Macaca fascicularis: one gene and its partners. The protein of the gene in region 2 interacts with the protein of the main gene of each other region in a pairwise test. Links are inferred from orthologs where the notes say so. Each region holds a gene or a part of one and is shown on either strand. Other genes may lie near its edges.

Evidence for each region.
Region 1: the proteins of CDK5RAP3 (region 2) and DISC1 interact in a two-hybrid assay, tested with the Homo sapiens proteins (2 studies listed by BioGRID and IntAct). The link is inferred for Macaca fascicularis from reciprocal best matches to the Homo sapiens genes CDK5RAP3 and DISC1.
Region 3: the proteins of CDK5RAP3 (region 2) and TSPYL4 interact in binary tests that used the Homo sapiens proteins (3 or more experiments, as listed by UniProt). The two-hybrid records come from large-scale screens. The link is inferred for Macaca fascicularis from reciprocal best matches to the Homo sapiens genes CDK5RAP3 and TSPYL4.

What each region holds. Positions count from the first base shown.
Region 1 is NC_088375.1:17,382,779-17,392,774, forward strand, and holds part of DISC1 (disrupted in schizophrenia 1 protein), read right to left. Parts: intron 6,411-9,996; coding exon 5,431-6,410; intron 1-5,430. UniProt on the Homo sapiens protein: Involved in the regulation of multiple aspects of embryonic and adult neurogenesis. Required for neural progenitor proliferation in the ventrical/subventrical zone during embryonic brain development and in the adult dentate gyrus of the hippocampus.
Region 2 is NC_088390.1:58,756,776-58,767,380, forward strand, and holds the start of CDK5RAP3 (CDK5 regulatory subunit-associated protein 3), read right to left. Parts: upstream 6,569-10,605; 5' UTR 6,544-6,568; coding exon 6,538-6,543; intron 6,328-6,537; coding exon 6,282-6,327; intron 3,561-6,281; coding exon 3,429-3,560; intron 3,149-3,428; coding exon 3,048-3,148; intron 2,684-3,047; coding exon 2,635-2,683; intron 1,900-2,634; coding exon 1,721-1,899; intron 1,519-1,720; coding exon 1,379-1,518; intron 1,162-1,378; coding exon 1,017-1,161; intron 321-1,016; coding exon 210-320; intron 1-209. UniProt on the Homo sapiens protein: Substrate adapter of E3 ligase complexes mediating ufmylation, the covalent attachment of the ubiquitin-like modifier UFM1 to substrate proteins, and which is involved in various processes, such as ribosome recycling and reticulophagy (also called ER-phagy).
Region 3 is NC_088378.1:20,270,753-20,281,228, reverse strand, and holds TSPYL4 (testis-specific Y-encoded-like protein 4), read left to right. Parts: upstream 1-5,528; 5' UTR 5,529-5,594; coding exon 5,595-6,839; 3' UTR 6,840-7,552; intron 7,553-9,069; 3' UTR 9,070-9,317; downstream 9,318-10,476.

The DNA of each region.
Region 1 (9,996 bases), on a different chromosome or scaffold from region 2:
ATGAAAAGCAAGTGGGAGCAAGAATGCCACTGGATCTGGGACAGATTGATGGAAGGGAAAACTGTAGAGAACGAGGTCACACAGGTAATGAGGACTGTATCAAGAAAAGACAAGAAGACATTTAAAAGTTATGATTTTACTCTGAAGTTCATGGGGGCCACTGGAGAGTTTGGGGCGGAAGAGCACATGATCTGACTTACATTTTAAACAGTTTCACTCTGGCTGCTGTTAGTAAGAGCAAAAGAAGGGAGGCCAGGTAAGAGGCCATGGTAACGTTCAGGAAGGAGATGACGGGAGCTTGGATGATAATGAGGATGGTGGCAATGGCAAAGATGGTGAGATGTGATCTGATTCCGGATATATTCAAAAGATCGCTGGTTAAATATAGAGCCAACAGGATTTGCTAATACCTCACAGGTGGGGTCTGAGGAAAACGCACCAGGATGATGCCAATGTTTGTTTTGTTTTTTGTTTTCTGAGCCACTGGAAGAATGGAGTACTTATTACACCAGGCTATAGCCATCTTTTGCTTTGTTTGGTTTTATCTGTGCATATCATTCGACCTTGAGCATCTGGAGGGCAAGAACTATTTTGCATCCATGTATAAGACGCTAGTACTTACCCTTACTTGATTTTTCCACTGCTTTGGGCACATGGAAAGAGTACAAGTGCCTCTCTCCTTGTTCTGCTGAACAGGGTATGAGTGGCAATGATGGGGTTACTTCTATGCTGAAGCATTTGATGGCTCTTGTAGGACTCCCTGACATTCTCTTCCTCATGACTGTGACTAAGGGGGTCACATGTTCAGATGGTGCAGGCTGGGTTCTTGAGTGACTCTATGGAGCAGAGCCCCCCCTAAAACCTCTGTGGAACACGAAGCATATGCAAGAAACACAATTTTGTTGTGTTGAGCCTGTAACGTAGTGTCTGTTACCAGCCTATCCTAACTAACACAACCTCCAAAGCCTAGCATAAGGCATTGTACTAGTTGTCATTGATAAATGCTTTCTGAATGAATGAAAGAATGAATGAATAATCATATTAACCCCTTTGTCCTTGAATTGCTCTATATTACAACTGCAAAATTTGCCAGTAACTTAGTCCCGTGTATCAGGGAGAGAAGAAAGGCTCTGTGAATGTTTGAAGGCCACATAAAGCTATAGCATTACCATCACCACACCCAAATGATGGTATCGTTAAACATTTATTTGAACAGAAGCTGAAGAAATGCAGGAAACAGGGACAGAGAAAAAAATTCATTTACAGCCAAAGCCCACCCCACGATGCCCACCTTGTCCAGTGATCTCTATAAGGCCTTGAATGGACTGCCCTGGGATATGTCTGAATACCCATCTTTGCTGGAAGCACAGCCCCAGTGGCCATGTCTTGCACGGTACCACAACCCTGCCTGTGGAATGTCCTATAATGCCCTGCAGGCACAGTCCTTCCTTTTTCACCAGTTTCCACGGCCTTAGGTGGAGCCTACCTTGTAGGGCCCACTCCACTTCCCCTCCTCTGCATGCCTGATCACCAACTGCCTTTATTACTATCCTCTCAGTCCCACACAACCTCTGGAAATCTCGCTAAGCAGCGATTTCTAAACAGCATAAAATATACACAGTTGATTCTCCTTATTCACAGTACTGTAGTTACGTTCTGTAAAGTTTCTGTAAATACTGAATTAGGGAATAATGAAGCATTGCTCCTAGGAGGAAATACAGGGTAGCTTCCCGTGAGCCCCTGGTCACAATACTTTCCTCAATCAATCAACAAGTAACCTTGTTCTACGTGTGTTTCTGTTTAAAAACAATTTATTTAATATGTATTAATGATCCATAAACATTGTACTCTGGCCAACAGCACTCTAACTCACGCCTGAATGAAGTTTCTGGAGCACCCATATCTTCTCCATCAGGCCCATCACAGCCTTCTCATGCTTAGGAGCATTAGATGGCATTAGTACTATGCTTGGGGGGCATTTGCAATGGTGAACTCACCAATAAAGAGCACAAAAATGTTAAAAAAGATGGCATTAAATAGACCACAAAAAGGGTACTAGTTTGTAGTATGAGAGAGAAGGTAGAATGTCATCTGGTCTGACCTTGTTTGACCTAAGTAGAAAGGGTGTACATCAGGTGACCCAAATTTTTTGCCACTCTGTGCAGGTTCAAAATTACCAGCAGGCATGGTGGCTCATGACTGTGATCCCAGTACCTTGGAGGCTGAGGCAGGAGGATCGCTTGAGGCCAGGACTTCAAGACCAGTCTGGGCAACATGGTGAGACCCTCATCTCTACCCCCCAAAAAAAAAAAAAATAGCCAGGCATGGTGGCACACGCCTGTAGTCCCAGCCACTAGGGAGGCTGAGGCAAGAGAATCGCCTGAGCCCAGGAGTTCAAGGTTACAGAGAGTTATGATGACACCACTGCACCCCAGCCTAGAGGACAGAGACCCCATCTCTTAAAAAATAAAATAAAAATGAAAAATGACCATAAAGGTGCCGTGAGTATTGATTTTGGAGTTAACAAGAAATTTTAGCAAGTAGACAAATTCACACATATAGAATCCATGAATACTGAGGATCAAGCATCTTTTAGAAGAAGCTGAAACTTAAAATTCCTGAGATTCCCATTTTTACTTAAGTAGAAGGGAGAGGAGGTTAAGGAATTAGAATATAATATCAAAAAGGCCCCCAAACACTAGAAATCCTACTCTTTCAAAGGATCTCTTTGGAGATCCTTCACCCGACCTTCCGCCCCGTCCCGAGGGCCTCAGCCACAACCCCAGTGAGCAGTCTGGGGCCTCTGCGTAAGCACCATGGGAAAACAAGTCCCTGAGCAGCCCGCCCCATCAAGACAGTTCCCACTGTCAAGAGGTTCTTCCTCCTATTGAGGCAAACTCTGCCTTCCTGTAAGTCCTGTGCCCTGGGCTGAGTTATTTTCGTCATTCCCACTACTCAGTTAATTCCTCTCCCACACAACAGATACTCAAGTACGGCCTTGCGTCACTTAATGACAGGGATGCATTCTGAGAAAAGCATTATTAGGTGACTTCATCACTGGGTGAACATCGTAGATTGTGCTTACACAAATCTGGATGGTGTAGCCCATTTCACACCTAGGCTAGAGGGAAGAGTCTATTGCTCCTGGGCTACAAACCTGTGCAGCCTGTGACTGTACTGAATACTGCAGGCAAGTGTAACACAATGGTAAGGTATTGGTGTATCTAAACATATCTGAACGTAGAAAGGGTACAACAAAAACACTGTATGATAATCTCATAGGACCACTGTCACATCATATATGTGATCCGTCATTGACCAAAATGTCATTATGCAGTACACGAGTGTAACTGAAGATAGTGCCATGTTTTTCCCTGCCCAGGTGTGGGACTGCCATAGACAACAATACTTACACTACAGAAAAAGTGTATCCAGATTCTACCATTTGAGAGAAGATAGGAATTTAATTTGAGCTATGGGCAGAAGGGAGAGCTTCATTAGCTTTTGACTCAAACTCTCTAAATAGGAGCTATTTCTCTAATGATGACTATGGGCAATTTCTGGGTACTTGCTAGGAGCTAGGTCCTGTCTGAAGCACTTTGCACATACGATCACATTTAGTTTAATTAACTGGAGAAGAGAAACACCGCAGGAAGGTAGACCCTCTTGCTAAACCCAGGTGAAAGATAACAAGGATCTGAGTCAGGGCAGCGGCCATGGTGGTGAGAGACAGATGAGCAGTAGGACTGAGAGGGCTTGGAGGCCGGCCAGATGTGGAACGAGGGAGAGGGAGGTGTGGAAGATGGTTGTGGTTTCTGGCCTAAGAAACTGGATAGATTCTATGCATTCGAATCAACCAATATTGGAGGCCCTTCAGAATGGGTTTGGGGGAAAGACAAGGGCATTGGTTTAGGCAATGACTAACTGGAAGACTCCACACATCACCCAGAATACCAGCCTGCATCTCTGCTCTGGCCTCAATCCCTCTCTGCATAATAAATCAGAGGGCTGGGCTGAGGTCCCTGAGGGCTGAAAAAGGGCAAACAGGGACAGGGCTAGGAACACCAGACTGCAGATAAAGAACGGAAGGTAGATGCTCTTTCGGGGAATGAGCATGAGCTTCTGCAGATTCTCCTCCCAAATGCCTGATGAGTGGGTGCTCCACTTCCCTACTCACATGAACACATCCCCACACACATGCGAGTGCACACACACCCACAAATACATACTCACACACGCATGCATACACACACATGCACACACAGCACAAACATGCACACACACATACACACACACAGCACAAACATGCACACACATACACACACGCACACACATGCATACCTATATGCACACACGCACACACACACACCTATATGCACACACAAACACGAGTGCACACACACCCACAAATACATACACTCACACACGCATGCACAAACATGCACACACAGCACAAACATGCAGACACACATACACACACGCACACACATGCACACGTATATGCGCACACACACAAACACATGAGCACACCCACAAATACACTCACACACGCATGCACAAACACACGCACATGCACACACATACACATGCACATGCAAACACATACAAGCACACACATGCACACCTCTATGTGCACACACACACACACAAACACACATATGTACACCCACCAGGATTAAAACACAGTCTGGCAATAGATCAGCCACAGAGCATCTCTACCTGGGCTTCTCTGGGAATTTTTGTGGGTAGAGGAACCCTGCCTACTTCTGGCTATACCCACCTCTCAGATAACTGGATAGACAGCAACATCATAAGGCTGGGCCTTAGATGTCTCCAGTTTGTCCTTATTTCCAAAGCAGCTACATTCTCATTTGAGCCTTAGAACAATCCTATGAGTTGGTGTTATCTCTAAATACGGAAACTGAGAGCCGGAGAGGTTCAATGACCAGAAGCGAAGTCTCCTGATCCTATGGAAGGCAGCAGTCACTGCAGCAGGATGGAAGGGAATGAGTGAAGTGGATGAAGAGCAGGATCGCCCTGATACAGGGCATCCCCATTTTTGTATCTCTCAACCCCTTCTAAACATCATCCAGCTCAATCTCCCCTGCCCCCAGTTTCCTGTCTCAAAGCAGAGCTGAGCTGAGTTAACCACGTCTCACCTAGGCCAGGGCCTGTGGAGGAGCCTGCGGCCCAATGGAGAGCAAATCTGAGCACCTACGTGACAGAGAAGACAAAAGGGAGGGTAGATCTGTGTCCAATTCAAAGAGACAGAAGTGTAGCAACATCCTTGTTCAGCCAGCTCCAAAAGGAGCTGCTGCAGCTTTTAGGAGGATAGCAGTTGAGCCCAGAACCCCTCACTTTCTGCCATCTGCCCAGTGCTAATCTGAGCTCACGACAATCTCGGGCTGCAGAGGTGGAGGAGACACTGACCTCCACCTGCCTCCGGTTTCTCAGCAGGCAGTCCCGCAGCACTGGCTCCCATTTCCTGAGCAGGGTGTCCCAAGAGTGGGCATCCTCCGATCCGCTGCTCCCATCACCACCACAGCCAGCCAGTGAGGGATCCAGAGAACTGGAGGAACCAGAGTCCATGTCCGGTAAAGAATGCATCTCACACTCTGGCCTGGAGCTGTTCCCGGCGGCCTGGGCCAAGTCCTCTGAGACCTGTGTAGCCAAGAGACTGAAGGGCCGAGAGAGACATCGAGGGTCCTTATGAGGCCCGTCCAAGCTGGCAGCTTTGGCTCCCATCTCCTGGGGGCTCTGGCAAGGGGACTCGGCCTCTCTGGATGGTGGGCAGCCTTCTGCTTCTCCACGTTCCCCGGCAGAGCCAAGCGAGAGCCGAATAAAGCTAAAGCTTGAGGCAAAGGCACTGTGAGAGCCAGGAGGGGTTGGGGGGTCCTCAAGGCCACAGCCAGGGTTGCAGCTATTGCTACTCAACTCTGCTGATGGCACAGAGCCTGCTGCCTGGACACACCTTGCTCCATCACTGCAGGCTGCCTCCCAGCTGGTGTCCAAGGTCTCAGAACTGTCCATGGCTGCAAACTCTTGCTGCCACCCAGCATTCCCAGGGCCACACAGCCTGCTAAGCCTGTCAGGCAATCTGGTGCCACCTCTGAGCTGAATCCCAAAGTGTGCCGAGGTTCCTCTCACAGAGGTCACAGCAGGGGCTGCTGCGCTCTTGGAAACAGGGCTCCCAACCAAGAGGCCTCCCAGGTCAAGGCCACACTCTCTGGTCTTGGACTCCAAGTGGTGGGACTCCTCGCCAGGCACCCCTCCTGGGACCCGGAACAGTGTGCCCACTGCTGGGGAAAGGAACCCGATCCCAGGCCCTGTCGAGCTTCTCATGTAGCCCGGCCTCCGTGCCAGCCGCCGCCTCCGAAAGCACGCTGCAGGTGGTAAGCAATCCCGGCCGCCTGGGAAGGAAAGAGAAAACAGCACTATAAACGTGCAGTTCTTACTGGCCCAGCTGGAACTGCATCTGGAGCACATCCCTAGGTTTAAAGGTCATCTCTCGGTACACCTGTCAAAGATACATGCTGGCTCAATGGTCCTGGGGCCAATCCGTTATGAAAATCCCAACAATCCTCAGGAAGTGTTTGCCTGGAACATGTAGAAATCAACACAGCATCTCAGCTCCTGGGTTTAGCAGAGCAACTGGCACTGCTGTATGCTATGCCCACAGGTCAGCATGAACACAACTTTGGTGGCTCCTGAACCCTCCAACATCTTGCCTGTTGGTCTTTTATGGCACATCAGTACTCTCATCCTGGAGTGGGCCTGGAAAGCAAATGACGTGAAAGTGGGATGCCAGAGCATGCCCCTAAATGAGATCCAACCATTTACTCTAGCTATTCATTGAACAACATGTGAATGTTCACTAGCGGGGCTATCCATGTCCCTGCAAGACTGATCTGTTGCTGCAGACCCATGGATAGCTGGCTGTGCTGCAATGTATGGCCATCATCTCATCTCACTCAGTGAATGACAGGAGGCCTGCTTGATGTGTTCTCCAAACCAGCACTGCATTCCCCTTCCAGCTAGGCTATAGGAATAGGAACAATAACAAATGCTGATTCCTCATTGCCTGGTTCAAACCCTGACTGTACCACTTGCTGGTTGTGTGACCTTCCACAAAGTTACTTAACCGCTCTGTGCCTCAGTTTCCCCATCAGTAAAGTGGTGATATTAACAGCTCTCTCATAAGGTGGTTGTGAGCTTTCAACTAAATGAGTTACTATTTGTAGACAGCTTAGAACAATGTCTGGCACATATGATAAGAGTTATTAAAATGTCATTTTTAGATTGCATAGCATTTTGCTACTCATAATGTGTTTTTAATTTACATTAATTTCATTCACTCCCTCCCAAAATCATGTGAATCAATCAGGCCAGAAACTATAGCTTTCCTTTTATATTGAAGGCAACTGAGATTCAGAGAACTTGCCTTTCCAGAATCCCCTGCAAGTAGCCAAGTGACCAGGCCAAAGTCTCATGACTCTACTGGCCCACACAGAGCTCCCTCATCTCAGGACCCTGCCACATTGCAAATCAGGCATGAAAGTAAAACCAGGCAGCACTGGACACAGCTGTACTCATACCATGGCCTATGGCAAGAAGTGGAACAAAGCTTCACTCCAGGCCCACACATCCTGCTTTGCTTCCCAGAACAGACGTGGTCTTGGAATCTTTGTCCTGTTAAGCCGAGATCAGTAGGCATTAAAGATCCCACTGAGCTACGATCATGGCACATGTCAGCTCCTAAAAGGGGTGGAGTTGGCACTGATAATCTCTGGGAAAATGAGCACAATGACCTCCAGCCCTCTATTTCCTGACTTGAGCATCTGAAGATAACAGAGCCCAAGACTTGCTCACACAGTGACTTGCTCTTGCCAACTGCAGGGAGCCCCAGAAGGGCCAATGCTGCCCGGGGCACACAGAATTCGGAAGCTTGCAGGGAAGGGAGGAAAGGAATCAGGGACCATGAGGTGGTGGTGGAGGAAGTCAGAGTAAAGAAAGGAAGGGAGGCATTTAACACTATAACTCTAGGAGATCGGTACTATTCCCATTTTACAAATAATACAGCTAAAGCTCAGAAAGCCTTACTTTGCCCCAGAACTCCCGGATCATGGTTTCCCAAAGCCCGGACTTGAACTGAGGCTTGTCTGGTTCCAAAGTACACGCCCTTTCAATTCCCTTTGCCTCCAAGTATATCAGTTAGGGCGACAGCGTAAAATGACAGGAAGGCAAAAGAAATATTTCATTTTTTTCTTTCTTTCTTGAAGACAGAGGACATGCGAGTTGAAGCCAGTAGAAAAGGACATGATGAGAGGTACAGAAGGAATCCATCATCCGAGGACATGAGGCTCCCTGCAGTGTCCGGATCCGACCGGCAGGGGGAGCAGTCGGAACAGGGCGGCCGGGCGTTGGGAGGGGGCAGAGAGAGACCCTCAGGGACACTCGCTCATAACCCCTGCAAAGTGGGCAAAACGTTCTCCAGAGGGCAAAGAATCTGAAAGTACGTTAGAGACAACATTGAATTCGGGCTTCAATTACCAAAGGAAAACAATCCAACAATTTCGTATCTTGAAAAATGAGTCCAGGTGAAACCTATATTGTCTGTAGTTTAAAAAGACTTTTAACTATTTTTTTATGTAAGTACCAGTCATGCAGATAACCCTTCTGGAGTTAAAAGAAACAGGCTAAGTAGAAAATTATTTGTTTGAAATTTCATTTCTTTTCAAAGGCCTGAGGGCACTTCAGTCTGAGTAGCCTTTTCTTTTTCTCTTTTTTCTTTTTTTTTTCTTTTTGAGACAGTCTCACTCTTGTTGCCCAGGCTGGAGTGCAGTGGCATGATCTCGGCTCACTGCTCCCAGGTTCAAGTGATTCTCCTGCCTCAGCCTCCCAAGTAGCTGGAATTGCGGGTGCCCGCCACCACACCCAGCTAATTTTTGTATTTTTAGTAGAGAGGGGGTTTCACCATATTGGCCAGGCTGGTCTTGAACTCCTGATCTCAGGGGGTCCACCTGCCTAGGCCTCCCAAAGCGCTGGGATTACAGTTGTGAGCCACAGCCACCGCGCCCAGCCCCTGAGTAACCTTTTCTAAAACCACTCAACCAAAGGTCCTGAAGTCCTGAAAGCCAGGTTCCAGCTGCAGCACAGTGAGGTTACCCAATGCGAACCCTTGTTTCTACTGGGGCCCTGGGAAGCTGTGATGAGCTGGGGACCAGGAGCAACAAGCCCAGGAGGGCAAACATAAGAGAGGTGTTTACCAAACGTGGGAATGAGATACGGGGATCACCTGGCTTCTGCACCCTGCTGAGGGCTCATGCAAACCATCCCCTGGCCATTGGCCTTCCCAGAAGGTGGCGGAATAGCAAAGACTGTCACATACTATGAATCCTAACCCTGAGGGGGCAGAGGGCAGATCCAGAGGGCACTGCTGGAATCTTCTAGAAGAATTCCAGGAAACCCATATAAGGCAGGAATGAAATCTGTAGGAAAAACTCCCAGTTTCCCATAACGAAAGGCCATTTTTTTCTCACTCCTTTGTCCTCTTTTTTTACTTTTATTTTTTGAGGAAATTTATGACATCCCCTGTGACCAAAATCAATTCTCACTTACATATCCAAGTCTTGCCATCACACCTTGCAGTTCAATAAGGATTAGGATGCATTCAGACCTTGGAGATAAATACTCCTTCCTAGCACCTAAGTGCAATCAGCTCTGGCAGGAGGTTCAAGAGGGCAGGAAGCAACGTATGGTAAGGTAAAGGAAAAGCGCACAGAGTGCAGGCAGGTTTTGAGAGCCAGTTAGGAAACAAGCTGTACCCTCTGTGATCTGCGAAACCCAGAGATGCCTCGTTCCACCCATCTAGCCCAGGAACGAACGACTGAGCAGGGAAAGGGACCCTGGCGCAGCTTTCTCTGCTCCTCAAGGCCTCTTGTCCTGCAACAGATCAATTCTAGAGGGAAGTGCTCATGCCTTACTTCCTCTCTGAAG
Region 2 (10,605 bases):
CGCCACTGCACTCCAGCCTGAGGGGCAGAATGAGACTGCCTCAAAAAACAAAACAAAACCCTGACATGTAAGGTGTGAAACTCTGCCTCCCTTGGACTATACCTGGTCTTAGAGCTATGAACTTCAAGTGATGCCTTTACAGACACAAATGACACTTTTCTGATGGTTAGAGTAGTAATGAGAGAGACAGACTGAGAAGGCCTCCTCACCTTTGAATCTGATTCCAGGAAGACGCCCCAGTCGATTCCAGCAGCCTCGGCAGAGATGCCAGAGTCAGTCCCCTCAGACACTGCCTCTACCCCAAAGTCGCCCCAGTCAATCTGGAAAGGGAAAGAGAGTGTTAGCTCATGGAAGATGGATTTAAAAAGGGCCAGGCGTGGTGGCTCATGTCTGTAACCCCAGCACTTTGGCAGGCTGAGGAGAGGGGATTGTTTGAGCCCAGGAGTTTCAGACCAGCCTGGGCAATATGGCAAAACCCTATCCCTACAAAGATGTTAATAAAAAATTAGCTAGGAGTGGTGGCGCATGACTGTAATCCCAGCTTCTTGGGAGGCTGACTTGGGAGGATCGCTTGAGGCTGAGACGCAGAGGTTGCAGTCAGCTGAGATCATGCCACCGGACTCCAGCCTGGGCAACAGAGCAAGGCCCAGTCTCCAAAATAAATTAATTAAAAAGGAGGGTGGGACTGCCTTCCCAAAGGCCTCAGCTGCTTCTGTAGAGAGCACACTGTTCAAATGCAGTGGCCTCTAAGCTCCCCCAAAGAAAGCCCATCTTCAGAGAGCTCACATGATGGAGGCTCCCAGTTCAAACTGAACCACCTTGCAAAACCTCTGTGGCACTCACTCACCTATACTCAGAAAAATAAAGGAGTAGGGCCTCCTGGGCCCTTCTACCTACAGTCATTCTCACACAAATCCCCTTTTTTCCCTCTGGGTCTTGGGTTGGGCTGTTGGGGGTGGGGAGGGGACAAGCAGCTCCCACTACACTCCCACAGCTCATCACAAGGCCCATCTTACCGCATCCTCTGCTATCTGCTCAGGAAGTTCCTCGAGGTGGGGTCGCTCCACCACAGAGGGCTCTGTCCCTGTCCTCCACTCATACACCGTTGAGTTTCCCCGCTTCTGCACGAACCGCAGCATTGGCAACACCTCCTCTGTGGGGCTTCAACAGAGCACACAACTGACTCTCCTGCAGACCATGCATGAGGCCAACACTGGCCTTTGGCCTGAGCCAGATGGTCAAATGGGCAAGGCCTCCACAGGTTCAGGTGTGTAAAAAGAGTTCAAATGTTATATGGGAAAAAGACAATTGGAGAAGGGACATGAGCTGGGAAACACAGGCAAAGCACGCCCACCAGGAGAAGCTGAGGCCTCTTTACCTGTCACACACAAACCCCACAGAGGCCTGGTACACGTCGATGGCTTCCCCCAGGGACTGCTGAGCCGCTGCCCCAATCTCAGCCAGCTGACTCGGCAGGTCCTTCACCAGGGCCAGCAGTTCTCCTCGGATATTTTCGCCCTACAGAGGGGAGAAGATGGGGAGTGAGACAGAAGTGGTGAGAGGTGGAGTCCAACAGATTGAAGAAAACATCCAAAGACTGAAGAAAAGTAAGACACTGGCCCAAAGCGGACGCAACCGGGCTGAGGAGTCAGACGGGGTCAGAGGAAGACAAGCAGGGGCCCAGGTGTCCTCTGGCTTCGAAGAGGCTGCCGCTGCTCACCGTGATGCCATACTGCTTGCAGGAGTGGTAGAACTGCTCCCGCATCTCAGCAGCCCCTGCCTGGCACTCCTCCTCCTTGCGGCTGTATTCTTGCTGCAGCTGCTGGCACTTGGCAATCTGCTTCTTCAGTGAGGGGATCTCATAGTTGACATTCCGAACCAGGAGGCTAGAGAGTTCCACTGAGAAGGGCCCAAGAAATTCATCCCAGGACACCCCCCTATGAGGCAGGCAGGCCCCAGCATGCACACACCCCCTTTGTGGTAGTGAAGAGCATGAGGTCAGCTTCCCAGCACCGCCTGTTCCCAGCTGTGGAGCCTAAGACAAGTTATTTAACCCCTCTAATCCAACGCTCATCTGTAAAACAGCGACAATAACATTTATCACGAAGATGCAAGAGAGAATCCAGACGACACACCAAGCACAATTCCTTGCGTTTAGTAGATGCTCAGTAAATATTAGCGATCATTACTATTTATACTAAACCCAACCCAAACACAGTTAGTCCTTTAGTTGCTCTCTCTCAGGCACTTGATATTGCTCCTAGGAAAACCTGTGCCTCTTCTGTCTTGTGTAGAATGGGGGTGCGGGGGTGGGGGTGGGGGCAGCACACTCCCGCTTACCAAGAAGAGGTGAGTGGTGGAGGACCCACACACGCCTGCTCGCTGAGGCACGGCGAATGCCCACTACCAGCCTGAACCTCTTCCTTCCCCCAGCACTCCACCCAGTGGAAAATCAATTTGTAGGTGGGAAAATCAATTCCATCAAAAACAATTGATTTTACCACCTACAAATAGGCAACATCTACACTCCAGTCTCTTCCCACTCACAGACTGTGCCTCCTATAAGCCTGGTATCTCAGAACTCTGAATGGGCTTTCCCATGGATACCGGGGCTCCCAGGCTAGGCCACTTTACCTAAGTAGGTGTTGTCCTTCTCATACAGGGCTATAATCTCCTGCCAATCCTGAGTAAGAACAGAAAGATGATGTTAAGCCAGAAAAGCACTCAACAGCCACATCCCAGCTCAATCCCTAAACAGGGGAAGTTTTCCCAGCCTTCATGTTACATCAAACACAAACTCCTTGTCCTTTCAACTCTGCTGGCTGGACCACCCACTTTAAGAGTGCAGGCGATCCCTAAAGCAGTGGGTTTGAAAATTAAACTCAGGGATAGGATCCACTTTGGAATAAGCTATAGAGACAGAGCAAAAGTTCAGGAAATATTCTATGTAGGCATCTCCACTGGAGCCTCAGAGAGACAACACAGGCTATGACTCCTTGGACTGGATGTCCCCAGGCACATACTACCAGCCCTTGGCCCACACTTGCCTTCATCCGCTGTGAAGAGTATCGGCCAAAAATATTTTTTGTGGAGGCCTCTGTGCCTTTGAGAAGGTCCACGATTCTTAGGCAGTGAAAGTAGTGAATGTCTAGAGAGCAAGAGACAGGATTTTGAGAACTAAAATATCTTCCTCACCTACTCTGGGCACTGCAGGTGGCTGATTCATGTATAATATACTGCCAGTAACTTTAGTGTGTAGCTTTTCCTTTCATCATATCATAGTGGAAGAAGCCAGCATCTATACCTCAAATAAAAATCGCTCCCTCTCTAAAGGCCAGCCCTGGTGTCTACATAACAAGGGAGTAGCTCAGCTGATACATACTACCTCAGCAAAGAAGGGACTCCAGTGACAGCCCCTAAGCACTCACAGGACCCAGACAGCAGCTGGGCGATCTCTTCGCTCTCTGGCATGTCCTGGATGGCAGCATTGATCTTCTCTCGGATCGTCAGCACCAGACTCTGCCATTTCAGGCTGCAGTGCCTTCTGTCCACCAGCCAATCTACGTGAGAAGCACCCAAACTGGAGTATTCCCATTCACATCACCAAAATTCCTTCACTAATGGGAGTGAAATACACTGAAAATAGTCTAAAAGTTGTCTTTACATTGATTAATAAAGTATGGGGTTCTGGAAAGATGGGAATAAAGACAAGCCCAAAGAGATGCCTGGGGCTATACAGGCTCTGACAATCTGACTTCATTAGCAGTGTGATTTTTATAGAGCAATTGCCTCAACACAGGGATAACACAAAGTTTCAATTGGTCCTGACATGAAAGTGCCACTTTTGACCATTCTCAATTCCCCATAATATTTTTGCTTCTATGGGTAATTATATCTTTCTTCCTGACAGAGGATGCTGCTCAACTTCCATTTCCTCAGGGCTGGGATTAACCATGACAATGGAAAATGCAAGATGGTTATGCCAAGTACCGGATGAATGAACAGCTGCAAAGCCTCTAATACCTACAGCGCCCTAAGGACTAGATAACATGACTCTATTGTGAACAGTGAAGTACCACCCTGTACATGTGAATACCAATGGGACTGACCTCTCAAAGTCTGGGCCCAGATTTGTGGCTTCAGAGCCATGCATATTTCCTCAGTGAGAGCTAAGAGCTGAGCTTTGTGGTCAGATGGTCCTGGGTTCTAGTTATTGTTATCAAGTTTCTTGAGCAAGTCTACTATTCTGTGCCTCAGTTTTCCCACATGTAAAATGGGGAATAATAAGACACTGACTAGAAAGGGGAATGCAGGTAAAACACTGAACAGTGTGCCTAAAACATGGCAAGAACTCAAAAAATTATAGTGATCATTTTTATCATGTTAAGTGCCTAAAACGGCACCTGGTACAAAACAAACCCTCAATGAATGGTAGTCATTTTATTGGTCCTTTTCATGACCAAGAACAAGCTCACACAGCAAGACTGCACATGGGCTGAAGGGCCAGTACAAATCTGAAGGGAGGCTAAAGAAGCCCCTCATGGCCACCAAGCAGGACAGACTAAATGGCCCCACAGAGTGGTGAATTCAGAACCTGTACTCTGCCAACCAGTCAAACACTGGGGTCCCACACTAGTATCAGTTATACTCCCTCTGCTATATTCCTGTAAAGTTTTCAGAAAGAAAAATTATGTTGATGTCACAGAACTAGAAGCAATGGACTGGGGTAGTCAGATACCATCTTTTTTTTTTTTTTTTTTGAGACAGAGTCTCGCTCTGCCGCCCAGGCTGGAGTGCAGTGGCGTGATCTTGGCTCACTGCAAGCTCCGCCTCCCGGGTTCACGCCATTCTCCTGCCTCAGCCTCCCGAGTAGCTGGGACTACAGGCGCCCGCCACCTCGCCCGGCTAGTTTTTTTGTATTTTTTAGTAGAGACGGGGTTTCACTGTGTCAGCCAGGATGGTCTCGATCTCCTGACCTCGTGATCCGCCCGTCTCGGCCTCCCAAAGTGCTGGGATTACAGGCTTGAGCCACCGCGCCCGGCCATCAGATACCATCTTAAGGACAAGACTGGCATCAAATCCATGAATCCAATAAGCATTTTAAAATGCCAGGAGCTGTGATCAGACGAAGAGGCCTTCCCTGATTATGAACTGGGGAGGAAGCATGCAGGCCCCATACAGATAACCTGGAGATGGCCTGGACACTAAAAGGTCTTCATTTCCAACTGGGTCTTAGGTCTCTCTTCCTCCTAAAATCAAGTGGGAGGTGAAGATTTTTAAATGAGGGGTGTTTTTTTTTTTTTTTTTTTTTCTGGCCTAATGCAAAGGGCATGGACAGTGGGTCAGACAGACTTAAGTTCCAAATGTGCCACTTAGTGGTTGACTGTTTTTTTGTTTTTTGTTTTTTGAGACGGAGTCTCGCTGTGTCGCTCGGGCTGGAGTGCAGTGGCCGGATCTCAGCTCACTGCAAGCTCCATCCACCTCCCAGGTTTACACCATTGTCCTGCCTCAGCCTCCCGAGTAGCTGGGACTACAGGCGCCCGCCACCTCGCCTGGCTAGTTTTTTGTATTTTTTAGTAGAGACGGGGTTTCACCGTGTTAGCCAGGATGGTCTTGATCTCCTGACCTCCTGATCCGCCCGTCTCGGCCTCCCAAAGTGCTGGGATTACAGGCTTGAGCCACCGCGCCCGGCCGGTTGACTGTTTTTTGTTTTATTTTTGAGATGGAGTTTCGCTCTTGCTGCCCAGGCTGGAGCACAATGGTGAGATCTCGGCTCACCGCAACATCTGCCTCCTGGGTTCAAGCGATTCTCCCGCCTCAGCCTCCCGAGTAGCTGGGATTACAGACATGTGCCACCAAGTCCGGCTAATTTTGTGTTTGTGTCTGTGTATTTTTAGTCATGGAGACATGGAGACAAGGTTTCTCCAGGTTGGTCAGGCTGGTCTCGAACTCCCGACCTCAGGTGATTCGCCAGCCTCGGCCTCCCAAAGTGCTGGGATTACAGGCATGAGCCACGTCGCCCGGAGTCATTTATCCTATCCCTGAATGATAGATAACATATGTTATTAAAGGAGAAAACACAGGTCAAACAGACTCTACATATGGTTCCTTCCGGCTGCTCTCAGGGAAGCAGGTCTGGCCACACGTGGGGCGTAGAACGAAGCCAGTGGTCAGCACCTCGACCCTGGCTTTCAGGCGTCAGAGCTCCCAGCTGTTGGACACAGGGGGCAACGAACAGGCCTCCCCCCGACAGCCAGCTAAGCGGTGGCGCCCCCTCCTACCGAGCAGCTTGCTGGTCTGGATGTCGATGGGCACGTGCTGATGGTCCTGGAGGGAAACACGGTGGGGAGGGGGGCGTGAGCGCGGCTGGGAGGACGAGCCACTCGCGCGCTCATTTCACGGTCCCAACCACCACCCTGCAGGGCCAGAACAAGGCCAGAGCGATGGGCTGGGTTGAGCCGCGCCCGGAGGGAGACCGGGGACATAGGTTAGGGGTCCGCGGCCAGTTCCCAGCACACCCAGCTCCTGTCCCCACACCTCCATCTTTCCTCCACTTCCGCTTCAGGCCGGAGACTCTGGCCCGCTCCCCCCCGCCCCAATCCAGTGGCGTTATGGCCGAGCTTCAGTTTAGACACAAACGGGCTTCCTTCGGCCACGTCGCCGCCTTCCGTACAGCCAATCAGGGTATACGCTCCACTCAGGCCTTCAGCCCCGCCCACCCCAAGGCTCCAAAGGCTGAGCTCGGGAGGGGCGGGAGAATGGAGACAGCCAATCGGAGACGCGAGGCGGGCTCACGGCCGGGGACTGGCGGGGGTGCGCTGCAGCGGCCGTGCGATTGAGGCAGGCGGCGCCCGAGAGCCCAGCTTGGCAGCAGCTTCCCCAGGCGGGCACTGGGTCCTCTCCGTGCGGATTGAGGTGTCTGCTGGCGGGGTCCTAGCGCCGATCTGGGAGGCCGTTGCAAATGCCTTCTTCCCTTCTTGCGTCACTTTACCATCCAGAGCAGTGTACAGGTCTCTTGTGGCACTTGTCATGCTTTGCCTTCTCATTAAGTTTCTCAAGTAGACATGGTTAAGCACCTGCAACGTGTGGGGCGATTAGGGCAGGGAAGGGGAAGGAGGAGGATCAGTGAGACGTCCCAAAGAGAACACCTACATGGAGTCTAAACGAACAGCTGAAGATAGCTGGGTGATGTGGGAAGAGGAGTTTGCTGAAGATAGCTGGGTGATGTGGGAAGAGGAGTTTTAGATGGAGGAGACTACAGAGACACAGCTTAGGTGGCCACAAACTGCAAGAGGGGTGCAAGCAACAACAGGCAGGCTGGACGGGCAACGTAATTTGTGAGGTCCAGTGCAAAATGGAAATGCATGGCCCTTTGTTACAAAATGAAAAATTTCAAGATGAAGTCGACTCTGCGGGCAGGCCCGAGTGGCTAGAGGAGAGGCTGTAAAGGTGGAAAGGTCATATCAAAGGGAGCCTCATTAAGGAACTTGGACTTCATCTCTTCAGACAGAGGAATCACAGAAGGGGTTTGAGGCAGGGAGGAACCTGTACAGATAGGCTGCTGGGATGATGAATGCATGGGAGATAAGACTGGGGGCAGGGAGGCTGGAAGGAGGTTGTTATCGAGGGATTATAGCCTGAGCTGGGACACAAGGTATAGGGAGGAAGGGGAAGGGCTGGATCTGAGGAATATTTAGGAGGAAAATGGATAGGACTTGGCAATATGATTGGCTGTTTAGGTGGAGGAGAGAGACACCAAGGATGACACCTAGGTGATTAGGTGGAAGCCACCACCTGAGACAGGAATGCAGGATGCTGAGCAGGTGTTGGGGAGGAGGGGGTCTAGCTTTGAACCTGGTCTGGCAATGCTGAGATACCCCCAGATGGAAAGTGTGCAGAAGGCACTTGGGTCTATAATTTTGGAGTTCAAAGGAGTTGTCGGGGCTGGAGATACAGCTTGGAGAGTCACAAGCTGGCTAATCTGTGGTCCGAATGGTGGCTGAAGCTAAGGGAGAGTTTGAGATTGGCCAAGAAGTGGGTAGGGTAAGGAGGGAGGGTGGGCTGAGGCCAGATTCCCCAGGATCTCACAAAGCTGGGTATGCCATTTCTTTTTTTTTTTTTGAGACGGAGTCTTGCTCTGTCGCAGGGGCTGGAGTGCAGTGACACTATCTCGGCTCACTGCAAGCTCTGCCTCCTGGGTTCACGCCATTCTCCTGCCTCAGCCTCCCGAGTAGCTGGGACTATAGGTGCCCACCACCACGCCCGGCTAATTTTGTTTTTGTATTTTTAGTAGAGACGGGGTTTCACCGTGTTAGCCAGGATGGTCTCGACCTCGTGATCCACCCACCTTGGCATCCCAAAGTGCTGGGATTACAGGCATGAGCCACCGCGCCCGGCCCTGAGTGTGCCATTTCTAAATATTCCTTCCCCAGCTCCTGCTCACCACAGCACAACACTTGAGGCTTAGTAAATTTTTGATTGAAATGCATAGTGTGATACAGCAGCGGGAAGACCTAGATTCTGCTCAGTGAGGTCTTGGAGCATTTCTATACCCTCTCTGATAGCCACAGTTTCCCCACATGGAGATAACAGCTATCCTATTTCAGGGTATTTCTGTTTAGAGGCATAAATAAACACACTAGTAACTCATGACAATTTACAACATACTGTAGATATATTTCTCATGCTTTGTAAACTCTTCCTATATGAAATATCATATATGGGCCAGGCGTGGAGGCTCACGCCTATAATCCCAGCACTTTTGGGAGGCCAAGACAGGCAGATCACCCAAGGTCAGGAATTTGAGACCAGCTTGATCAACATGGTGAAATCCCATCTCTAAAACAAACAAACAAAAACCACGCCAGGCACGGTAGCTCATGCCTGTAATCCCAGCACTTTAGGAGGCTGAGGTGGGTGGATCACGAGGTCAGGAGTTCGAGACCAGTCTGATCAACATGGTGAAACCCCGTCTTTACTAAAAATACAAAAATTAGCTGGGTGTGGTGGCGTATGCCTGTAATCCCAACTACTCAGGAGGCTGAGGCAGGAGAACTGCTTGAACTCGGGAGGCGGAGGTTGTAGTGAGCCGAGATTGTGCCACCGCACTCCAGCCTGGGCGACAGAGTGAGACCCTGTATGAAAAACAAAACAAAACAAAAAAATAAAAACAAATGAAAAAAAACCCAAAAACTATCCTGGCGTGGTGGGTGCCTGTAGTCCCAGCTACTTGGCTACTCAGGAGGCTGAAGCAGAAGAATCACTTGAACCTGGGAGGTGGGGGTTGCAGTGAGCCGAGATTGTGCCACTGCACTCCAGCCTGGGCAACAGAGTAAGACTCCATTTCAAAAAAAAAAAAAAGGCCGGGCGCGGTGGCTCAAGCCTGTAATCCCAGCACTTTGGGAGGCCGAGGCGGGCGGATCACGAGGTCAGGAGATCGAGACCATCCTGGCTAACACAGTGAAACCCCGTCTCTACTAAAAATACAAAAAGAAATTAGCCGGGCGTGGTGGCGGGCGCCTGTAGTCCCAGCTACTCCGGAGGCTGAGGCAGGAGAATGGCGTGAACCCAGGAGGCGGAGCTTGCAGTGAGCCGAGATCGTGCCACTGCACTCCAGTCTGGGCGACAGAGCGAGACTCCGTCTCAAAAAAAAAAAAAAAAAAAAAAAAAAAAATATATATATATATATATATATCATATATGATCATTATTATTATAGAACAAATTGAAAAACTGCTCTGAAAATGGCTCATAGGGCTGAACTAAGGGCCTTTTCAGGGATCTTTCATGGGAATTTGGCTCCCATCTGAGTCAGCCTGACTCAGGCTGTAGGAATTGCCCAGGCTCCTCCATGATTAAACAGACACTTAACTGGGCCCCAACTATGTGCTCGGGGCTCTCTGGGACATCCCAAGAAGCAAGGCACTGCCCTGCCCTCAAGGTGTATCTATCTCTCTTCCTGGGCAGAACAGGACAGGGCGGGTCTGGAAGACCCAGCCCAGGTGAGTTGATGGAAGCAAGGACCACCAGCCGTTAAACTCCACCCGCAGCTCCCCAAGGTGACTCACGTGGAGCAAAAGGATGTTTGAGAACAGTTCTGCCCAGCTACTGACTCCAGGGAGGCTGTCCTAAAGCCAGAGGCTCTGGGACAGAACCTACCTCTGCTGACTGCAGAGGCTCTGGGGGAGAGCCTGCCAAAGGCACATGCTTCTGTGTTCTCAAAGAGTGTACGAGCATTGGCGGGTGTCTGCACTTTTCCAAGGCCACAGGGAACTTCAGGGCCTGTGGGCAGATAAGCACATAATTGGTCTGGCATCCAGGGCATCGACTCTGTCTACTTCAGGAGACTTTAGTCGTTGGGGCTCCCAGCAGCTAGAAGGAGGCAGAGAGAGGTATGGTAGGTTTCTGATCAGGAATCTCTCAGTTCTCTGCTGATTTAGCAGATGGGACCCTAGGAGAGGGGCAGCACATGTAGAGAGGTGAGGGAGGATATACCAGGGCTGTGCCAGCTTTGGACAAGGAAGCACAGAGCCCTGAGGCACTGTGTAGGCAGCCTGCCTTGCCATTCATTATTGTTGTTGTTAGCTTGCTTATTACGTGATAAAC
Region 3 (10,476 bases), on a different chromosome or scaffold from region 2:
ACTCTATTAAAAAGTGGGCAAAGGACATGGACAGACACTTCTTAAAAAGACATACATGCAGCCAATATTCATATTAAAAAAAAAAACTCAACATCACTGATTATTAGAGAAATGCAAAGCAAAACCACAATGAGATACTATCTCATACCAGTCAGAATGGCTATTATTAAAAAGTAAAAAAATAACAGATGCTGGCGAGGTTGTGGAAAAAAAGTAATGTTTATACACTGTTGGTGAGAGTACAAATTAGTTCATTTATTGTGGAAGATAGTGTGGTGATTCTTCAGAGACCTCAAAACAGATATATTGTTTGGTCAAGCAATCCCATTAATAGGTATTTACTCAAAGGAATATAAATCGTTATATCATAAAGACACATGCATGTCTATATTCACTGCAGTGTTATTCACATAGCAAAGCCATGGAATCAACCTGAATGACCATCAATGATAGGCTAAAGAAAATGTGGTACATATACACCATAGAATACTATGCAGCCATACAAAAGAATGAGATCATGTCCTTTGCAGCAACATGGATGGAGCTGTAGACCATTATCCTTAGCAAACTAAAGCAGGAACAGGAAACCAAGTATCACATATTCTCTTACAGGTGGGGGCTAAATGATAAGAACACATGGATGAACAACACACACTGGGGTTTATCTAAGGGTGGAAGGTTGGGAGAGGGAGAAGATAATGAAAAATAACTCATAGGTACTAGGTTTAATATCTGGGTGATGAAATAATCTGTACAATAAACCCCAATGACATCTTTACCTATATATCCTGCACATATACCCATGAACTTAAAAGTTAAATAAAAAGAAATGTGGGGAAAAAAGGTGTGTCTTATAATCAAAGAGATATAAATGTGAATTGGGGAAATTCTGTCCTTTTCCTCCAGAACTTTATCATAAAGCTGCTCAAAATTTCAGAAAATCTATCTCAGAAAAGCATTGCTGCTTATGTCTTTAGTACCTTACACCTATATCAAGTTGCATTAGTAGTTTCATACACTAGTGAGTCTACAGGTATAACCATCTAATTTATCATGCCATAAAGTGTTGGCATGTCAAAGCATTTATATTTTAAAATAGATATTTTAAAAATTACGTTCCTTTTATTTTTCCTTTAAATTACAGCTAAGTTATTATAATGACTTTAAAAAATGTGCATGTTGATATACAATATGAATTTCAAGAAAGGAAAACATGTTATAAAAAGAAATGTTATATCTAGCCAGGCCCGGTGGCTCACAGCTGTAATCCCAGCTCTTTGGGAGGCCAAGGCGGATCACCTGAGGTTGGGAGTTCGAGGCCAGCCTGGCCGATATGGTGAAATCCTGTCTCTACTAAAAAAAAAAAAAAAAAAAAAAAAAAAAAAAATTATCCGGGCATGGTGGCAGGCGCCTGTAATCCTAGCTACTTGGGAGACTGAGGTGGGAGAATCACTTGAAACCAGGAGATGGATGTTGCAGTGAGCCAAGATCTTGCCACTGCACTCCAGCCTGGCCACGACAGAGTAAGACTCCATCTAAAAATAAAATCAAATAAAAATAAAAGTAAAAAATAAATGTTATATCTGATGAGTTGAGAACTATTAAGGTATTGAAACAGAGAATCATGAATTCTTGTTTCTCTTTAGTAACTGGGCACTTCCTCAACAATTGTCACTAATTTTATGGATGGGGCAGGCTATAGACTGAATGTCTTTGTCCTCCTCAAATTAATATATTGAAACCTAATCCCCAATGTGAGAGTATTTGGAGATAGGGTCCTCTGGGAGGCAATCAGTGCCCTATAAAAGAGACCTCTGGTTAGAGCCCTATGAGATTAGTGCCATTATAAAAGAAACCCCAGAGAGATCCCTCACTCCTTTTTCCATGTGAGGACACAGCAAAACAAAACAAAACAAAACACAAAAACCAACAAACTATAGTCTAAGAACCAGGATGCAGGCCCTCACCAGACACCAAATCTGCTGGTACCTTGATCTTGGAATTCCCAGCCTTCAGAACTGTGAGAAGTAAATTACTGTTTACAAGCCACCCACTCTATAGTATTTTGTTACAGCAGCCTGAATAGACTAAGACAGGTAAAGGAAAAGAAGATAAAGAAGAAAGTTCAACATTAAATTGGGATGGTCATGCAGTCTTATTTCTAAGAAGGTGGTTTTTCATGTTATAGGTTGTGTAAGGTTGCAGAATAGTATGGTGAATGAGTGCACAGGCTCTCTAGTCAGATTACCTCATTCAAATTGTGGCTCCACTACTTGCTGTGTAATCTTCGATAAACCACTTTATTTCTCATTGCCTCGATTCCTTCTGAGGCATAGTGAAGTGGAGGTCATAATATCACCTCACAGGGTCCTTGTAAAAATTAAATGAGATACACATTTAAGCGCATAAAAGTATATGGTATATAGAAAACACTAAATAAATGTAAGCTATAATGAACTAGAAACTATATCATTCTGAAAAAGAAACTGCTGGCCAAAGATGTAACAATAGGGGATATTTCACAAATTTTCCAATCTTTACTGTATACTTCAGTAAAGTCATTCCTGTTAGACTGTATTAATTTATGTTTGAACTTCCAGTAAATCTTTCCTCCTTGCAAATAAAAACTACCTCATGGATTTTCATGGCATTTTCTATCGTTATTTTTCCATAGAATCAGAAGTCACTGATGTAGTTTTTTCTGTGTAGTAAGGTTTATTGCCAATTTCCAGTAGAATAGACTTTACTGTGTACAAAATATATATTATTCGAATATGCAAAAAATGTAAAATATAACTCATAGCTACAATTATATATCCACACACCTCAAAATGAAACACAAGGATAGTCACACTATTCATATTGGTAAAATCTTTCAAAATTTTTATTTAAATTTAAATTTTCACTTAAATATCAAGATTCATTAAAACGTTCTATGAGACAGTAACTGGGCTATACTATGGTAGATGCTACAGAAGCTGCTATGCAGTCATCATTATCTAGCTGGGATAAAATTGACCTTAATGAAACAACCAATAAAGTTAAAAAGTAGAGGATAAGTAACTACGGTCATTTGCTGTATAACATTTTGGTCAAAGATGAACTGCATATACAAGTGTGGGACCATAAAATTATAATACTCTATTTTTACTGTATCGTTCTTATGTTTAGATACAAAAATACTTACCATTATGTTACAAGTGCCTACAGTATTCAGTTCAGCAACATGCTGTTCAGGTTTGTAGCCTAGGAGCAATATGATATACTATTTAGCTTAGATGTGTAGTAGGCTATTGCAGTTAGGTTTGATAGATGTACTATATGATGTTCCCATAATGACAAAATCCCTGTCATTAAGTGAAACATAACTGTACTAAGTTGGATGGTAAAAGTCATAAGGGCTATACAGAAATCAGAAAACTGTCAAAATGGCAAGTAATCAAGGAAGGAGGTAAAGTAATTAAAGTGGGAGGAGGCAGTTTGCCAATTAATATATATGTGACCACGGGCATGTTAACTTCTCTGTGCTCACTGGGTCTTTGTTTATAAAATCTAATGTATTTAAACTGCCTAGTACAATCTACATGAACTGAGTGTTAAAGAATGGCCAGGTGGTTATGAGTGAAAAATGATTCAGGTAACAGAGCTAATAAAAGCTGGAGATGGGAATGCTTTGAGTAGTAGAGATATAAATCTTTAAAAAATTTTGGCACACATAGAAAGAAAAATAAGTTCACATGTAATTTTATATTTTTCTATAAATTTATATAATAGCAAACTTCTTTTTTCCTCCTGCATGGAAAAGTAACTTTCATTCAGTATTCCCTGCTTCTCTTCAACTTGGCTCAGGTTATAATGGAAAAGAGTTACTCTTTCAACAGTGCAAAGATTCTTTGGAAAAGAAACAGAGCAGTGTCAATAATTCAAAGTCACAAAGTCAATTATAACACACTGTTTACTTGTTTACAAAGATGATACCTCAACAGATTGACTTCACCACACAAATAAAAAAAGAGCATTTATTAAGACAAAGAGGAAAGAGGGAGAGAAAAATAATTGCTCTCTGTTGTGTGAATCTTGTTTGCTATTTCTTATGGGATAACTGATTAGCTGGCAGGCAGTAAAGAGGTCATTCTGGACACATTGTCCTTGGTAGGCTGACTAGGCATACAAAAAACCCTGCAAGGTAGGCTGTTTCTCTGTATTATCTGCCAGTGACCTTCCATCAGTACTTTATCTTAGTTGAACCAGAGCTACACTCCTTCCCTCGCTAGAAGTCTTAGTATATATGCTGCATTCCTCTAAATCCTTTTTTTCTAAACCTGTACTTCTGAGTCTGTATTTGAAAGTGATCATAATCTGGGGTGCTCAAAATGGAGTTTCTTTTACAAAGAGTTATAATCATAACCGTTTATTCGAATATAAATGTAAGACATTAAACATAAATATGCAAAATTTACATTTCCCTTTGGTCTTGCATTTTTCCAAGGATTAACACCATTATTCTCACTCCAACAAACTAACATATTGTACTGGTAATCACTATCAAATGAATTGTAAGGGCTAACTGACTTGAACAGACAATAACTAACCTTACTTTTAAAGTAAATATTTTAAGAGACAATAGCATAGATGCCCCGGCACATAGCTGATTATTGCTCCTGTGCTGCAGTGAATTACCACATGAACACATTTTGGCAAAGATTTGTTAGCTTCACGTCTACAGGCATTATGAAGCAGGAAACACTTTTAGATTAAGATTGTAACCTGAGGAAAAGAACATATGCATCAGTTTAGAAATTAAAATCCCCTGAGATATTTCTTTCAGTACCGCTCAAAAGCCTCAATTTGTGCTCCTGTGCCAGTCACCTCTACGTAAGGAAAAACATTTTGCTACTCTTTATTAGTTAAAAGTGAAGAGGAAATATTGTCCACTTGCTTTGTAGATGTTGGCCAAATTATATAAACTTTAAAATCTGTAAGACAAATTGAAATATTCCTTTATTATGTCTTGTTAGGAGGAGAGAAGTTTGCCTTTCAGCTGCTCCTTAATTTTAAAAATAACACTAAACATAGTAACACTTCTCTTTAAAAATCAAACTCTGCTCATCTAAATTTTTTGGTAATAGCCGAGAATCCATACCTTAAAGAAGGAAAGCCTGTGAGTTTGTGAATCCACTTTCCTACTCACGAGAAGCCCTATGAACTGACTTGAATAGACAGTAACTAACCTTATTTTAAGAAACAATAGCTTAGGTGCCTTAGAAATTCATTCAGAGGCTTATAAATCCACATTAACACAGTTCTCACATGTTTGAGTCTGGTCTACATCCATTTACGTAAGTAAAACTCCCTTTCCAGATTGATGAAATTCTTTTTGTGACAAGAAGACAAAGGAATACAACGGATTGATAAGCGTAGTCACCGGCGCAGAGTTCTCGCGCGATGTTAGGACGCTACCGCTCTGACATCACCGGTTGCCATGGTAGCACCGCGGCGAGTAAAAGAGGGGTGGCGCTAGACGTTTCGGGCAGAGTGCGGCCGCTGCGGAGACAAGGAACTCTCCCTCTACCGCCAGTCTGACTTCTACCAAAATGAGCGGCCTGGATGGGGGCAACAAGCTCCCTCTCGCCCAAACCGGCGACCTGGCTGCTCCCGACCATGCCTCAGGAGATCCGGTCCTAGACCAGTGCCAAGTGCTCCATGAAGAAACCGAGGCGACACAGGTGATGGCGAACACAGGTGGGGGCAGCCTGGAGACCGCTGCGGAGGGAGGTGCATCCCGGGATCCTGTTGACTGCGGCCCCGCGCTCCGCGTCCCAGTTGCCGGGAGTCGCGGCTGTGTGGCGACCAAAGCCGGGCAGGAGGATGCTCCACCTTCTACGAAAGGTCTGGAAGCAGCCTCTGCCTCCGAGGCTGCTGATAACAGCCAGAAAAATGGCTGTCAGCTTGGAGAGCCCCGTGGCCCTGCTGGGCAGAAGGCTCTAGAAGCCTGTGGCGCAGGGGGGTTGGGGTCTCAGATGATAGCCAGGAAGAAGGCCAAGGAAGTGACGACTAAAAAGTGCGCCATGTCAGCAGCGGTGGAAAAGGAGGGAGAAGCAGGGGCGGTGATGGAGGAAAAGAAGGTAGTGCAGAAGGAAAAAAAGGTGGCAGGAGGGGTGAAAGAGGAGACACGGCCCAGGGCCCCGAAGATCAATAACTGCATGGACTCGCTGGAGGCCATCGATCAAGAGTTGTCAAACGTAAATGCCCAGGCTGACAGGGCCTTCCTTCAGCTTGAGCGCAAGTTTGGCCGCATGCGAAGACTCCACATGCAGCGCAGAAGTTTCATTATCCAAAATATCCCAGGTTTCTGGGTCACTGCCTTTCGAAACCACCCCCAGCTGTCACCTATGATCAGTGGCCAAGATGAAGACATGCTGAGGTACATGATCAATTTGGAGGTGGAGGAGCTTAAACACCCCAGAGCAGGCTGCAAATTCAAGTTCATCTTTCAGGGCAACCCCTACTTCCGAAATGAGGGGCTCGTCAAGGAATATGAGCGCAGATCCTCCGGGCGAGTGGTGTCTCTTTCCACTCCAATCCGCTGGCACCGAGGCCAAGATCCCCAGGCTCATATCCACAGAAACCGGGAAGGGAACACTATCCCTAGTTTCTTCAACTGGTTTTCAGACCACAGCCTTCTAGAATTCGACAGAATTGCAGAGATTATCAAAGGAGAACTGTGGCCCAATCCCCTACAATACTACCTGATGGGTGAAGGGCCCCGTAGAGGAATTCGAGGCCCACCAAGGCAGCCGGTGGAGAGCGCCAGATCCTTCAGGTTCCAGTCTGGCTAATCTCTGTCCTGTGAGAAGCTTCTGCACAAGTTTCCTTACCACCTCCTCTTGGACCTATGCTTGGCCAACAGCATGCAGTCTTCTGTCTGCTTTCTCTTCATACTGCGGATTATCTTTTCCTTTGGTTCTTCTAAATCTTCAGTAATCAGTTGCAAGATTATTGGCTTACCTGCCCATGCCATTCTTCCTCTGGACCTTCATGCTTTTCTGCATTGTGTTAACATGTTTCAAGTGCATGGCCTTCTACGGCTTCTATGCCAAACATGATACTATAGATGTACTGTACCATACTGCCTTTCTTTGCATGGCTTGGACCCTGTCTGTGACCGTGGTCTTCTCCCAGTTTAGGTGGTTCTGTACCACAAAGAATCTTGATACATCTTCACAAATAACTACTGGGCTTCATACTTTATGCTGGCTGTGTACCTGATACCCATGTACTTATGGTAAGCTCTTTAGGTATTACCACTGCAAGACAAAACTGATATCTTAACCCAGCCGTCAACCCAAATTGGACATTCCAGACTACCACCAACTGGATCCCAGCTGCCTTCCTGGGCTTGTGCCATCCACCCTACTGGTTATCTGGTAGAACAAGCTGGTGGCTGGTGGGTGACTGCTAGGCATGAATGAGGTAATAGATGAAAAGTGTTCTATGATATCACATTGGTGTTCCTGTACCTTTGGTTACTCTACATCATGACCAGCTACTGGTAAGTATGAAGCCTGTGCTGTAGCCCAGCCCTACTTGCTCTCACCTTCTGGTTGAACTTTGCTTAGGCCACCATTGTCTGCCTTCAGGAACTATCTGTAGACGTAGCTCCCAGGGAGCTCACAGGAACACCCCCTACCACCAGGATGGGCAGTCATATGTGACAGTGCCCAAAGCAAGGCTGGAACGCAGTCCCTTCCAGCTTAGTCTTTCTGATTGCTAGCCAACAAACCATCCTTAATCTGAGCAACTTCTTTAGGCATTTCCTCTTTTCCCCGCCTGCTCCCACTCTGAACATGACAAAGTTGCCAGAGTTGGGGCATTGAGGAAGAGATATTTCTGGAATGTGAGACTTCTTATGCCTCTGTCTCTGTGTCTCTTTCTTTCTCTCCCTCCCCCTTCCCCTCTCCCTCCCATCCCTTCTTTTCTTCCCTTTCACTCTGAAGCAGTTTTAGCTTATGAACAGAAAACAAAACTGGCAAAGCAGACTTTTTGTTTAATTTGCTCTTTCCTTGATTGTGTTCAGAGAGGAAAGGTATGATTAAATGGGTTCCAGATCTCTTATTGCCCTTATTCCTCCACCCCACTTCCTTTAGCAAGGTCTGACAATTTCAAAGGGAGACCTATAGGTTGTTTAGTTAGAGGCAGTGTTCTTTTAGGCAGGTTTTGACATCTTTATCTTTTACCCTATCCATTCTACCAAAACCTGTGTATTTCTTGAGCTTTTAGTTTGAGAAGCTGGAAAGAGAGAGAAGGGCCTTACAGTGATGGGTTCAGGACAGGTCCTGAACAGGATGTGAGCGAAGGCAACCAAAACTTAGCTTCACTCCACTTTTCTAAAGATGGAAATGCTTTTTTAGGCCTTGGACTGCTTGGAAATGACCCAAGGGTAGCATTTTGTAGGTCATTCTTCTCCTTTGTACTACTTTGTTCCTGCCCTGATGTCCCATGTGTCTTCATCCTACTGCCTGGCTTTCTTGGCCCTCATTTTTCAGCTTCTGCATTTCCTTCCTTGCTCCTAACAAATGAAGAAGCAGGCTGCAGCCTGCATTCTGGAAGATCTCCAACCTCCTTGTAGGGGATAAGGGGAATTTTTCCCTTTCGATTTTGAAGGCTTTGACCTAAGCCCCTTTAGGGTTGAGGAGGTCTGAACACACACAGTGGAGAGGTTAGTCTAGGTTGGGAAACTGAGTAAGTCCAGAGCAGAAATGAGCCTGCTGTGGAGTGGGTTTGGAAAGGCCTACAGGAAAGACCCTGCAGGGTCAGGGGTGGGAGGGTAGGCCCCTGAGGTGCGCCCCAGGGAAGAGGAGCTGGTATTTAAATCGTATGCTTGGAGGAAGATTTTCCTTCAATTTTTCCTAAGTCCTTGAATTCACCAGTAGATTTTTGTAAACAAAACTGTAAGGGTGTTTCCTCTCGATTATCCTAGGAGTGACCTTTATATGTGTGGAAGATTAATGGTGTATGCTCCTTATGTCACTGTTTTTGAGTAAAATCTATTTCCTTTCTCCGTTTCAGCCTATGACAAAATTGATGTTTACAGGCCTGCTTTTTGCTTATAATTGACAACATGTGCAAAAATACCAAATTTGTGTCCTGTGCAGTATGAAGACTTCAGTGAATATTCATTAATGTATTAGCTTGTTCTGCTCTCTGTTCATATATGGCTCTATTCTTAGAAATATAATTTGAATGTGATCTTTCAGTAGTCTGAATATTTTACAAATTGTTGCTATGTCTTGTGAAAATAACCTCAAAAAGAAAAATATGACTCTGTTGTCTTACTTGATACTTCTTGCCCTAGTAATGTACTTGACATTTATGTTCCTAAGCAGTGTAAGTACTAGTAGAATTTCTCTGTCAAACTCAATGATGATTATTAGTACTTTTGTCTTCTCCCATGTGCTTGAAGGAAAAACAAAGTGTCACTACTGTATTTCTTGTTTTCATCAAAAAATAAAAATAAATAAAAAATTCTGTTGTCTAGGTTAATTTAAGGTTAGGAAATCATTAAAGTTATCAAATGATACCAGTAACTATCATCCTGAAAGTTAAAAAAAAAAAAAAAAAAAAAGCAACAGCCACCAAACCTCCTAAGATTTTTCACTTGAAAAATGGTAAATAGAAGCCCAACTACAACTGCATACTCATGAGCATTATTTTTTCTATATAACAGTGCAGTTTTTGGTGGTAATTGAAGCACCATATAGTATCACTTAAAATACTGTTTTCAGTGGAAAACTTGTCTATGCAGCATCCTTGTTCATTACATTTATATTAACTGTGCCTTCCGAGGTCTAACTCTCAATAAGCTTAAGATAGACTTTTGGAAGAATTAATTATTGTGTATTCTGAGTGCTACTTACATTATTTTCTTACACCAGTGTGTGGCTTTAAAAAGAATACCAAGAAAACATGAAATAAAATGTCTAGAGACAAATGATATCAGGCATCACAACTTTAATTACCAGTAATGATAGTTTTGCTGTATAGCAGCAATTACATGAAGTTTTATTGGATAAATACCTCTGCATTCTCTGCAGTAAGGAGGGCTTTATGGATGCTGCAAAATCTGTGAAAATGAATTGCCAAGTATTTGTAGCCATTTAAGCAAAAATTTGACAAAAATGGCCCAAAATTTCTCATTTGAGTTAGAAACTTAATTAAACATACAGTTAGATAGATGCTGACTCCTGGTGCAATTGTTACTTGCAATTTCTTGCTGCAGTATTTTTTTCTAGGGCTGGAGAACTTTAAGTATTAGAGACCTAGGTTTTCTTTTGCAAGCTCTACATCCATCTTAATCCTAAATTCCCCTAACAATGTTCATCTTACCTTTTCAGTTCAGTGACTGATTTCTGCATTGTCAACCACCTGTTTCAAGCTTTATTATACATTTTCTGTGCCTGTTCTGGATGTAATCAG